Saccharomyces cerevisiae S288C: one gene and its partners. The protein of the gene in region 3 purifies or fractionates together with the protein of the main gene of each other region. This does not show direct contact. Each region holds a gene or a part of one and is shown on either strand. Other genes may lie near its edges.

The links.
Region 1: the proteins of SEC65 (region 3) and SRP54 purify together in Saccharomyces cerevisiae (affinity purification with mass spectrometry; 5 studies listed by BioGRID, with this or other methods). This does not show direct contact.
Region 2: the proteins of SEC65 (region 3) and SRP68 purify together in Saccharomyces cerevisiae (affinity purification with mass spectrometry; 5 studies listed by BioGRID, with this or other methods). This does not show direct contact.

Annotation. Positions count from the first base shown.
Region 1 is NC_001148.4:710,747-714,801, forward strand, and holds SRP54 (RNA-binding signal recognition particle subunit SRP54), read right to left. Parts: upstream 2,283-4,055; coding exon 657-2,282; downstream 1-656. Other genes in the region: transcription factor SUA7, read left to right, coding at 1-392; YPR089W (uncharacterized protein), read left to right, coding at 2,529-4,055.
Region 2 is NC_001148.4:86,731-90,912, reverse strand, and holds SRP68 (signal recognition particle subunit SRP68), read right to left. Parts: upstream 2,397-4,182; coding exon 597-2,396; downstream 1-596. Other genes in the region: IQG1 (Iqg1p), read left to right, coding at 1-291; UDP-galactose transporter HUT1, read left to right, coding at 2,880-3,899; YPL245W (uncharacterized protein), read right to left, coding at 3,963-4,182. UniProt on the Saccharomyces cerevisiae protein: Component of the signal recognition particle (SRP) complex, a ribonucleoprotein complex that mediates the cotranslational targeting of secretory and membrane proteins to the endoplasmic reticulum (ER).
Region 3 is NC_001145.3:57,277-60,662, forward strand, and holds SEC65 (RNA-binding signal recognition particle subunit SEC65), read right to left. Parts: upstream 1,412-3,386; coding exon 590-1,411; downstream 1-589. Other genes in the region: orotate phosphoribosyltransferase URA5, read left to right, coding at 1-177; MDM1 (Mdm1p), read right to left, coding at 1,663-3,386. UniProt on the Saccharomyces cerevisiae protein: Signal-recognition-particle (SRP) assembly has a crucial role in targeting secretory proteins to the rough endoplasmic reticulum (ER) membrane.

The DNA of each region.
Region 1 (4,055 bases), on a different chromosome or scaffold from region 3:
GCAAGAGCGAAGATGGTTTCTTGAAGATTGATACCGATAATATGAGTGGTGCACAAAACCTAACTTATATACCCAGGTTTTGTTCGCATCTGGGCTTACCGATGCAAGTCACTACTTCTGCTGAATATACCGCAAAGAAATGTAAAGAGATCAAAGAAATTGCAGGTAAATCCCCTATTACTATCGCTGTTGTTTCCATCTATCTAAACATCCTGCTCTTTCAGATCCCTATTACCGCAGCGAAAGTGGGCCAAACCTTGCAAGTTACTGAAGGTACCATCAAATCTGGTTACAAGATACTTTATGAGCATAGAGACAAGCTTGTGGATCCGCAGCTTATTGCTAATGGTGTAGTGTCTTTGGATAACTTACCGGGCGTTGAAAAGAAATAATGAAGTGATAAAACAGTAAATTATAGGAACAAGAAGCACGGGTACTCGTGTTAGAGGGTAGAACCTTTTCCATGGCAGTTCAATCGAATATTTATTTTGTTATTTTACAATTCAAAAAAATAGAATGAACACTTTATAATTTAACAAGATTTTTCTTTTTTTTTTTATTGAAGGAGGTATTCGAAAGGATGAAAGCTAAACAAGTTATTTGAAATATGCATACATACATATATATATATACTGTGTATATTCAAATGGTGGCCTTTAGCCCATACCGAATTGTTTTGCCATTTGTTGCATTTGTGGATCTTGCATCATTTTCATCATTTCGTTCATATCAGGCATTCCTCCGCCCATTCCTCCGCCCATTCCGCCACCAAACATGTTCATCATATTTTGCATTAGACCTGGATTTTGCTTCAGCTTTTGTTGTGCCTGCTGCATCATTTGTGGAGTCACTTTTGGCATACCAGGCATATTCGGCATACCAGGCATGTTTGGCATACCCGGCATGTTTGGCATGCCAGGCATCCTAGCATTGGCACCAGGGGCTCCTGGTTGTTGCTGGGTTGCGGTTTGTGCCATTCTTGCCATCATCTGCTGTTGCATCAATATCATTTCTACCTCGAACACAGAAGTACCTGAACCTTTAGCTACACGAACCATTCTTGTAGGCTCTTCAATGAACATTCTACCATCAGATTCTAGTTCTTCTTTAGTCATAGAATCCAAAACGTAAACCATTTTCTTCATCTTTTGAGAGGTTTCCTCCTCCCCTACTTGATTCATCATATTACTCATACCAGGAATCATCTGCGCTATATTTGATAATGGACCCATTTTCATTATTGTTTGCATCTGTTTCTTGAAATCTAGCAAGGTGAACTTACCCTTTTGGATGTTTTCCATTGTGGCTTTTGCATCTTCCTTGTTGGAAACGGTTTGTAATTGCTCAAAGAGACTCTCTATATCACCAATACCCAACAGTTTAGATATGAATGACTTAGGCGAGAACTTTTCCAAATCATGAATGTGCTCACCTGTACCAATAAAGATAATCGGAGTGTTTGTGGCTGCAACGGCCGAAATTGCCCCACCCCCTCTAGCGTGGCCGTCCATCTTGGTTAATATAATGGCACCAAAATCGGACGATTCTTTGAAAGCCTTGGATTGTTGCTCTGCAGCTTGACCAATGGAAGCATCTAAAACCATGATAGTTTGATTAGGCTTGATGACATTGGATATTTCAATCATTTCTTGGAACAACTCTTCTTCTTGATGATGCCTACCTGAAGTATCAACGATGATGATATCAAACTTCTCTTTCTTAAACTTGTTAATACCTTCTTCTGCAACTTTGGCAGGGTCAGTCTCCGTATATGACCCATAAAATGGAATTCTTGCTCTTATAGCGTTTTGTTTCAATTGGTCAAATGCACCAGCACGGAAAGTATCCGCACATACCAAACCCACTTTGAAACCTCTCTTCGAGTAGTAAACTGCTAACTTGGTACAGGAAGTAGTTTTACCTGAACCTTGCAGCCCAACAAACATGATGATGTTTGTCTTTCTCTTCTTGGGCACAAAGGCCTTCTCTTCACTACCTTCGCAGGTGACCAACTTACACAGTTCATCAAACACCGTTTTCTGAATAAGCTTCTTAGTTTGTGCGTTTGTTGTGGACTTCTCACTACGGTTCTCACTCAGCAGCTGTGACCTTATATTATTTCGTAACTTAGAAACCAGGGCAATATTCACATCCGATTCTAACAACGCAGTCACGATGCCCTTTAACATTACATCTACGGATGTAGTAAAGTCATCCTGTGTATTGGAAATCGCGTTATTCACAGCAGAATTAATCCGCTTCCCCAAATCAGCCAAAACCATCCTTTAGTTAGACTCGATGCTGTGTTTTCTTTCCCTTCTCTTCTGCATCCTTGCTGTTCAACCACTTTTCATTATCTTGTTTTACCACTATTTTTTTTCACTTTGTTGATGTCTTTATCGTTAGCGGTGATTTTTCGATATTGAGATGAACGAAAAGACCATCATACTATAACAATATGGGTAGTGACTGAAGTATAGGAGAGCCGCAATTGCCGGTCTACAGAACTCACAAGGCATTCGTGAACAATGAACAGTGTTTGGGATGATGCTAGAATAGAGGACAGAACGGTGGACAAACCAGTAGGCTCCTCTCACGCTCAGGAGAAACTCGCGCTGGTAAAATCAACTTTGTTTAAACTTGACCAAGAAGATAGACCAGAATGCGATTCCTGGGTACAACTAGTCAAATTGATCTGCGACGAAGACCGTGAAGAAGAATTTACTACATTCAAGGAGTTATTAAGGGAAGTCAAAAACGTTAATGATAAATCCGTCACAGGCGTTGCCTTGATTCATTATATCATTGTATTTGATCGTGCAGACTACATTGAGTTACTACATGATAATCCTTCTGGTGCAAAATTAGATTTGAATCTTGTCGACGACATTGTAGGTTACACACCTTTGATGTGGAGTTTCAGTCTGCAGAGAAGGAACTGTTGCTTGGAGCTGTTCAACGCATTCGACGAGATAAACTTCAACATGACGAATAAGGCTGGATTAACCGCTTGGGATATGGTTCCTCCATATTCACCACTTTCGGAATTTTTGGAACAAAACAATATGTTTCGATACCGTACCGAAGTAAAACATGAAATACCTCAAATTTCCCAACCGAAAGACACCTCTCTTCTAATGAGTAATGAAGACTCTACCACGAAAGAAACTTTTGATAATATTGACTTACAAGTCGCCGGTTTGACCCTGTCCCCTGGTGCAAATGACAACATGTTTCTGGATTCTGATGAAAAGAACATGAATCATTCTCAGGGAGCTGCAACCCTAATAGATCCCACATATACAGAAGACTACCACGGTACATTTGATTATGATAAACTATCTCCGGACCAATACTTGGAATTTTCCGACTTTGATATACCACAAATCCTGAATCTATTGATATCGCTACCACAAAAGGAACCTCACATGACCACCTATCCAGCTGGTTTAATATACCAATGTATTAGATATGCTGATCATAAGATAAAGTCCAAGCCACTAGTAGAATCGTTAATTAACTTATCTCTAACAAAAATTCTGACCAGTGTTTCATCCAACGGAGCTGCAGGATTGGTCTCCACAGAAGCTTCTTTGCAAGCAGGTGACATTGTATTGCAATCGTATTGGTTAAGTTGTTTATCTTTTCTCTATTACTACCTCTGTAGAGATGATTCATTTTTCAAGAGGCATCCAAGCGTGTTACAAGAGCTGATTAACACCATCCACTCTATTATCATAGAACTGACATCTTCCATTCATTGCAGGTTGATTTCTTTGATAGATTCAACTTTACTAGCATACACAACAATCCAGGACGTTAAACAAACTTTATACAAAAGAGACTGGAACTTTTTTAAAAAGAGAAAGCAGGCCAAGCTTTTATTGAAGGAAAAGAACAGAAAACAATTAAAGGAACAACAAAAGAAAGAACTTCATCGAAAAAGCCAGGGTCAAGAAAATCATGAAGAAGAGGAGGGTCAACAAGATGGGAATGATTCAGATGATAGGGCATCAACAAATGATGATAACAATTCTAGTGTTTCACTCTTTTAT
Region 2 (4,182 bases), on a different chromosome or scaffold from region 3:
GAACTGACTGTAAAAGTCTTTGGTTCGAGCGGTCCTAAATTCCCAGATATAATATTCAAAATTTCCACATCGGATGGTTCTAGATTCGGTATTCAAATGATTGACAAAAGAAAAGGGCCCGATAAACGATACTCGGATGATGTCGATTCTTTCTCATTTAAAGACTTGATAAAGACTCAAGTTGAACCAAAAATCGAGACGTGGAAATTATTCCATTCCAACGTTGTTGTTAACAATAGCCAATTACTACATTTGATTGTCAGTTTTTTCTATAAAAGGAACGCTTTGTAATAGATAACTCGGTTTTGAGCATATTGGGCAAAAGCTGTTACTAAATTTTCCCATTCTTTCTATTTTTATCTTTGTTTTTATTTTCCTTATTTTCAGCAGCAAAAATAATTTAACGTATAGTTATGTAAAGGACCCTAAACATCTTCTTTTTAGCATGTGCTGTAATTTGGCGATATCTTCAGTAGATAAAAATAAGATGTGTTAAGTAATGCACTTCGTTATTTGGCTACTATAGTTGGCAATCATCATTTGTTTAAATGGAATAATCTATATAGTACTATAAATACAGTCATACTAGAAAAATATTAACGACCAAATAGGCCCAAGAAACCACGCTTCTTTTTAGGCTCTCCTTCCGTCTGCTCATTAGAAATTGGTGTTTGAGAGATGCTCTCGGTTTCTGTGACTGAATCTTTCACTTGAGAAGCTGAGGGCTCTTGCTTATCATATGTTATGTAGTTGAAGGCCAAATCAAAAAGTGTTGGTTTACTAGGAATGGGCAGCATTTTTGGCTTGAGAGGGAATAAATTTTTCAATTGTATGTCCGTTGGCAGTATTTTTTTACTATCCAATTTTTCAATCACTGTCAAATCATATTTCCCTAAGCTGCCACCATGATTTCTTTTTTCGTATTCCGCCAAAGTAATGACACTATTACCACCGTTTTCGATTCTCTTTTGTAAGCTTCGGACAGAATTCAATGACAAAAGATTTGCTGGAAGTAAGATTTCGTCTAGAGATTCAATTTCAGATAATTTGTTTTCTAATCTTCGGTAAGCGTCCACATATAGAGCTAACGCCTCCATATATCTGCCTTTCGACTGATATAAAACACTCAGGCAGCCCGTATTCAGAAATAACTGGAAATACAGCTTGCATAAGTCTAATTGGCTTAGCAGCTCGTCATCTGAATACACACCAGGTAGCTCCATTATGTCCGATAAATATTTTGTCAAATTCTTCACAATACGTTCCATTTCTTTATATTTGGTTAACTTCGATGGTAATGAAGTATTTAATTTCAGCCATTGATTCCATAAATGAGTAAACAAATCTCTTTCACGAGATATAGAGGTCAAAAGAATATTATATTTAATGTAGGCTAAAATTATCTGATTGTTTTCAGAACTATTTTCAACCATCTCGTCTATGTCATCTTGATCGTCGTGGTTTGCGATGAAAAATTCATGACGGTCTAAAGCTTTCTCCAATTTTGATAGCCTCTGTGTATATTGAGTAATCTGAGTTGGGTGGATAGATAGACCTTGTTCCAAAAATTGAGCAACTTCAGCATCGATTATCTTGGCGTTGAAAGATCTCCAGTTTATGTTAGTGGTAACCTTTTGATCTTCAGTTGAGGTTGTAATTTTTTTCATATTGAATCCATTGTCTAATAACAATTTCACAAGCTCATCGTCCTTGTTCTCATCAGATTGAACTCTTTCCACGATAAAGTTATTTATTTCGGGCGTTGTAATTAAATTTCCCGCGTACTGCTTGAGAGAGTACTGGTATTTATTAACAATGTTATCTACAACTTCTTCAGCTAATAAGCTTAGATTCTTCAAGTGTTCCAATGCGGCGAAAACGAGGGCTAGGTTGTTCGAAATTTTGGCATTGTCCTTCCTCTTGAACCTTTTTCCATTAATTAGGTACTCTGAATGTACCAATTTAGCGAACGCTAAATATTGGGCACGAGTTATCCATTGCTGTTCATTTTGAGTGACGTTAACCAATTTATCAGCAGTCTTGCAGGCCTTCTTCAATCTTGTGGATAAAACCTTTTCTTCACTTTTCTTTAACTTTCCTCTTTGACGAGCTCTCAATTTCAAAGTTTCAGCCAGTGCCAAGTCCCTTTCAGCGTGTAGTAAAATCAAAACACCAATCAATTTAGTTTTATTATCATAATCCTCGGAGTTAATTTCGCCATACTTATTTTTACTTGAGTATTTCTTTGTATCCTTGGTGACCAAATGGCAACGGCTCCTCAAGTGTTGCAACTTTTTATTCAATTTCGCATGATACTTAGCGAAGTCTGAGTCTGTTTCTAAAAACTGTTCTGCACGATTACCATAGGTGGCAATGATTGGAGAATAGGCAACCATCTTTAGTTTCAAGCGTGGCTAGTTTTTGATTCAATATGGAAAAAAAGAAAATTACACTGTAATATAATACAATTGATCACTTTGATGCTCAAATAATTCAAATAACCTAGTCTCCAGCTGCTCGTTTATGCTAATATTGTTGGATTAACTCTAGCAAATATACTCCAAAAAAAATTTTCAGAACTTATCACGAACAACGATGTGGTAAAGACAACGAAATACTACGTAAATCATATTGGTCTGCTCGTTTATAAAAGCTTACTCCCAATCAAATCACTGCAATGGAATATGTCGTTTGGTTCGTTGTTGTAGTTTGTGGAATGCCAGAATCATCAGCTGTTTCTCTTCCAAAGCTTCCCTGAGATCGCTTCTAAAGGTTGTTTTGTAGATCCCATCGAACATGAAAAAATGACAGCAATGTAATTAGAACCAGAATTACAACGTAACAAGAAGAAGTAAACAAGGCAGTATTCGTATATTTGTATGGCGGGAAGTACATCCAGTTTGGTGATCTGTGCGATTGGTATATATGCTACTTTTTTGACGTGGGCATTAGTACAGGAGCCTTTGGCTACAAGAACCTGGCCAAACTCCATGGGAAAGTTTCAATTCCCTAATGTAATATCCCTCATACAAGCTTCTGTGGCAATGATGATGGGCTACCTGTACTTAAACTGGAAGAAGGTGGAATATCCGCCCAGAAAAATGATTAAAGATCATTGGAAACAATTGATGTTGATATCATTTACACAGAGTAGTTCAGGCCCGCTGGCTACAACTTCTTTAAAGCACGTGGATTATCTCACTTACATGTTAGCAAAGTCATGCAAGATGATCCCCGTGTTGTTGGTGCATTTGCTTTTGTATAGGACGCCCATAGCAAGCCAAAAAAAAGTTGTAGCTCTCTTGGTAAGTCTCGGTGTCACTATTTTCACTATAGGTGGCAACGATGGTAAAAAGTTGAAGAGATCCTTTAATGAGAGCGGAAATGATAACAAATTACAAGGGTTTGGACTACTTTTCTCTAGTTTATTCCTTGATGGATTGACCAACGCCACCCAAGATAAGCTACTAAAGGCCAATAAGGCCAAAGAAAAGGGAAAACAAACTTTGATAACAGGTGCACACTTGATGTTTACACTGAACCTCTTCGTGATATTGTGGAATATTTTGTATTTTATTGTGATCGACTGCAAACAATGGGATAATGCCGTTTCTGTATTGACGATGGACCCACAAGTGTGGGGCTATTTAATGCTTTATTCGTTCTGTGGCGCTATGGGACAATGCTTTATTTTCTATACTCTAGAACAATTTGGCTCTTTAGTTTTGATCATGATAACAGTCACCAGGAAAATGGTCTCGATGATTTTGAGTATTATTGTCTTCGGTAAGAGTGTACGTTTCCAGCAATGGGTGGGGATGTTTATAGTATTTGGTGGAATCACTTGGGAAGCACTCAACAAGAAGAAGGCTAATATACCGAAGGCAAAATCTGCGTAGATTAGTGAAGATCGCAACAAATAAAAGTTAATATTTATAAAATTTGTCTATACTATGTACTTCCTATTTTTTTGATGGACGAAGCAGTCTCTCTCTTAATTCAGGATCGTATGCATAAACATACAGACCACGCACGCCACGAGTTAAGAGGACATTAATGCTATTCATAATAATCTTTTGCTTAACGTCCTCTGCATTGTGAATGTTTTTCTTTTTGGTGAAACCGGCCCTATCGTCATACAGCTCTGGTCTTAGTTTGATGCAGTCATTAGCCGCATCATAC
Region 3 (3,386 bases):
AGTACTGACGATAAAGAAGGACTCAGCGCCACTCAAACTGTTAGCAAAAAATACGGTATCCCAGTCTTGAGCATTGTCTCCTTAATTCACATAATTACCTATTTGGAAGGCAGAATAACAGCAGAAGAGAAAAGCAAGATCGAACAATACCTTCAAACCTACGGTGCCTCCGCTTAAAAATCAGTTTTTTAATTAAATGATTTATTTATCTCTTTTAAGAACTATTAATCTTAGTTACTACGATACATGCACGCCGCTCATCTATATATGTGTATAAATAGCGTATATTCACACACATATATATAGAGCGAGAGAGTTTTCTTGTTACTTTTTTCTGTGTTTCGGTACCTCTTGCCTGTAGCTGCTTCAAAACTCTTGGCTTATTGAACTCTGTTTCAACTACAGACGAAATAATACGAATAATTGATTTGTCTTGATGTAAAAATTTAAAAGCTGATACAACAAGTCATTTAGCACTTGATCTGAACAAACATCATATTCTTATAGTTCTGCTATTATAATCTATTAATATATTAATATATTAATCTCAATATACATATACATATACATAAATGGGTAAAGGAGACAATCATCTTCTAACTACTTTGTACTTATTTTTTGGTGGCTTGAACGACTTTTCTGCCGCTGTAATCTTAGGAGTTTCGTAAACAGATTTTGTCATTGGGTGGCCCATCAAGAACGGACTATGCAGCGGAACAATCTCATTCATTTTGAATCCCTTTACACGTGGAATCTTTTTGAATTCAATATTGTCGAAATCAGGGCCATATGGAATCTCCCTTAAAGATTCAATAGTAGTTGGATGTCTTTTCATATACTCCCCAACAGCTTTCATTAATTGCCTCTTTCCACCTTTGAATTTAGTGGCTGCGCCAATTAATTGTCCATTTTCTTTGAAAAGTACACGAATTCTACCAGGATTACCAAAATCTTGTGGGTGACATTTTTCACCTTCAAAAATGCATAATATTCCCAATTCACGGACAGCATCTGCCATAGTTTTAGCCAAAGGATTTTCAACAGCCAACTCCTTAGGAACCCTTCTCCCTTCCTTATGTGATCTGTTTATGTCAAAGTAACATGGATAGAGTACTTGGAATCTTTTGACTTCTTCTAAATCTTTCTTCGAAATAGCCTCCGAACGTTCAACCTTACCAGTTTTTGGGTTAATAAAACTCAACTGCTCTTTTTCGTTGCTACTATTGTTGTTGCTATTACTGTTGTTATTCGTGCCAGGTAAAAATGCAGGGTTCTCTTGGTCCTGGCTCCTTACAACCTTAGGCGTTATCTTGGGAGCGATCGGCGTCCTCAAAGATGGATCTAACTCGGCCAATTCCATATCAAGGTCGTCGATATCATTGAAATCGTCAATCTCTTCTAATCTAGGCATTTTGACTTTATGATACTATAGCTTATGGCTTATTTTATTTCTTTTGATTTCGTTAGTTGCTAGCCTGTTGAATATCATTGATATTTTTTTTTTTTTCAGATTACAAAAGCGTGAAAAATAAATACTTCCCAATTGTTTTAAGAAGAAGTACACAATTTTTAAAGCGGCTGAAGAAGTGTACCAATTTATTTGCTATTGTGACAATTACACTTTTTTTTTTAGATTGTTCGGTACTTAGTCAAGTTTTATTTTCAGTCATTACATATTATGTCCAATAAAATTGCATCAAGAGCTTCCAACAGTAAGCTGGCATTTAAATACGGATTCTGTAGCATGGCATGGACCCGGCCAGCAGCTTCATGAGAATCTCTTAGACCAACTACACGACCACAAGTGTCTGCGAAGAGTCTTTGCAAACTGGTTAAAGCGAGTTGTTCCGTCCGTAACCTTTCACCTTCGCTTCTTGTTGCCTCTGCCGTTTCATTTCTTTTTCTTTCGAACAGACCGTTATCACCCCATAGCATATTCTTGAATGTAACTATTGCTTCAAATACTTGATCCTCTGATCTCAATTTTTGAATGCTGACCTTTATATACTTTTCAATAGTGCTCCCAAGAAGCTGTTGTAAAACGGTAATTATAGCCCTTCCTCTTAACCAACCCGCGTTGGCCTTATTTAAAGCAAAGAGCGAAATAAATAAGTCACATATCTGTTTAACAAAAGATTTATTTTGCGAATAAAAAGGATAGCCAGAATCGGTGAAAAAATGTCTTTCATCTTCATAGAAATTCAATTCACCGCCGTCTTCAGAGCTTTGTAAATCAACAACAGAACTGCTATTACTTGTGCTATTACTACTACCAATAGGTTCATGAAGTGGCTCCTCCAGAATATCATCATGCATATATTCCTTGTTCAGTTTGAATGGGGTAGGATCTGTCAAAAATCTTCTGAAAATGTTATCTTCGCATATTTCAGAAATAGATAATAGTTCTCGCAAGTACTTTTCAAGTTTTTGCTTTCGTTCCTCATAAAGCAATGTTTTTGTAACATGATATTTCAATGACATTTTCACTTTTGACGGGAACAAATCTTGCAACTGCCTCATCAGATCCCTAAAATTCTTTTTCAAATATGTATTTAATTCAAAAAATTCATTATATCTCCTTGCCATATCCCAAGAACTTACCTGCCCATTGTTAAAATGATGGATATTGATGATATAATAAGTTATTTCTTTTAGGCCATTACTAGAATTCTCACTGAAGTACGACCTAATGTATATCTTAGTTTTTCTGAACAAACTATTACCATTTTCTTGTACCATATATTGCTGTTTCAACAGTTCCTTCATTTCTAGTTCCTTTAATAGGGTTCTTTGTGACTTTTTTAAAATTTTCAACTGCATTTGATTGTTGGTCAGATCTGCCTTCAAAATCAAATGCCTTAAAAGTTCAAGCTCTTTCTCAATCTGATCAATTGAAATAGTCAAGGATGCTATATTATCCCTAAAGTTGTTTGACCCATAAAATTGGCTAGGATTTAGGCCTGAATTCCCGCTGGAAACACTTACTTTCTCCATATTACGTGGGTGATCCAACTGATCCTCGACAACAGAAATTTCTGAGGTATTATCGTTTTCATCGTCGAAGAGTTTATCTTTGAAAATGTTGTCATTTTCTGAACCAAAGAGCTGAGAATAACGGGGATTTGAGCTTATTCTTGATTTATGCGGCTTGGATCCCGATCCATTCACTATATTATCTAAAGCATCTGTGATGCCGGGGTTTGCGAATATTCTGACAGGATTCATAAAATCAGTCTTCACATTATCTTTTATTATTTTGTTTTGTTCTGGATTGTTAACACCACCGATTCTACTCAGAAAGTGAGCATATATATCAGTCGAAATGATGTGGGACGTTGAAAGCATTTTGAGAAATGAAGGTGTTTTCTTGAAAAGAGGTAAAAATC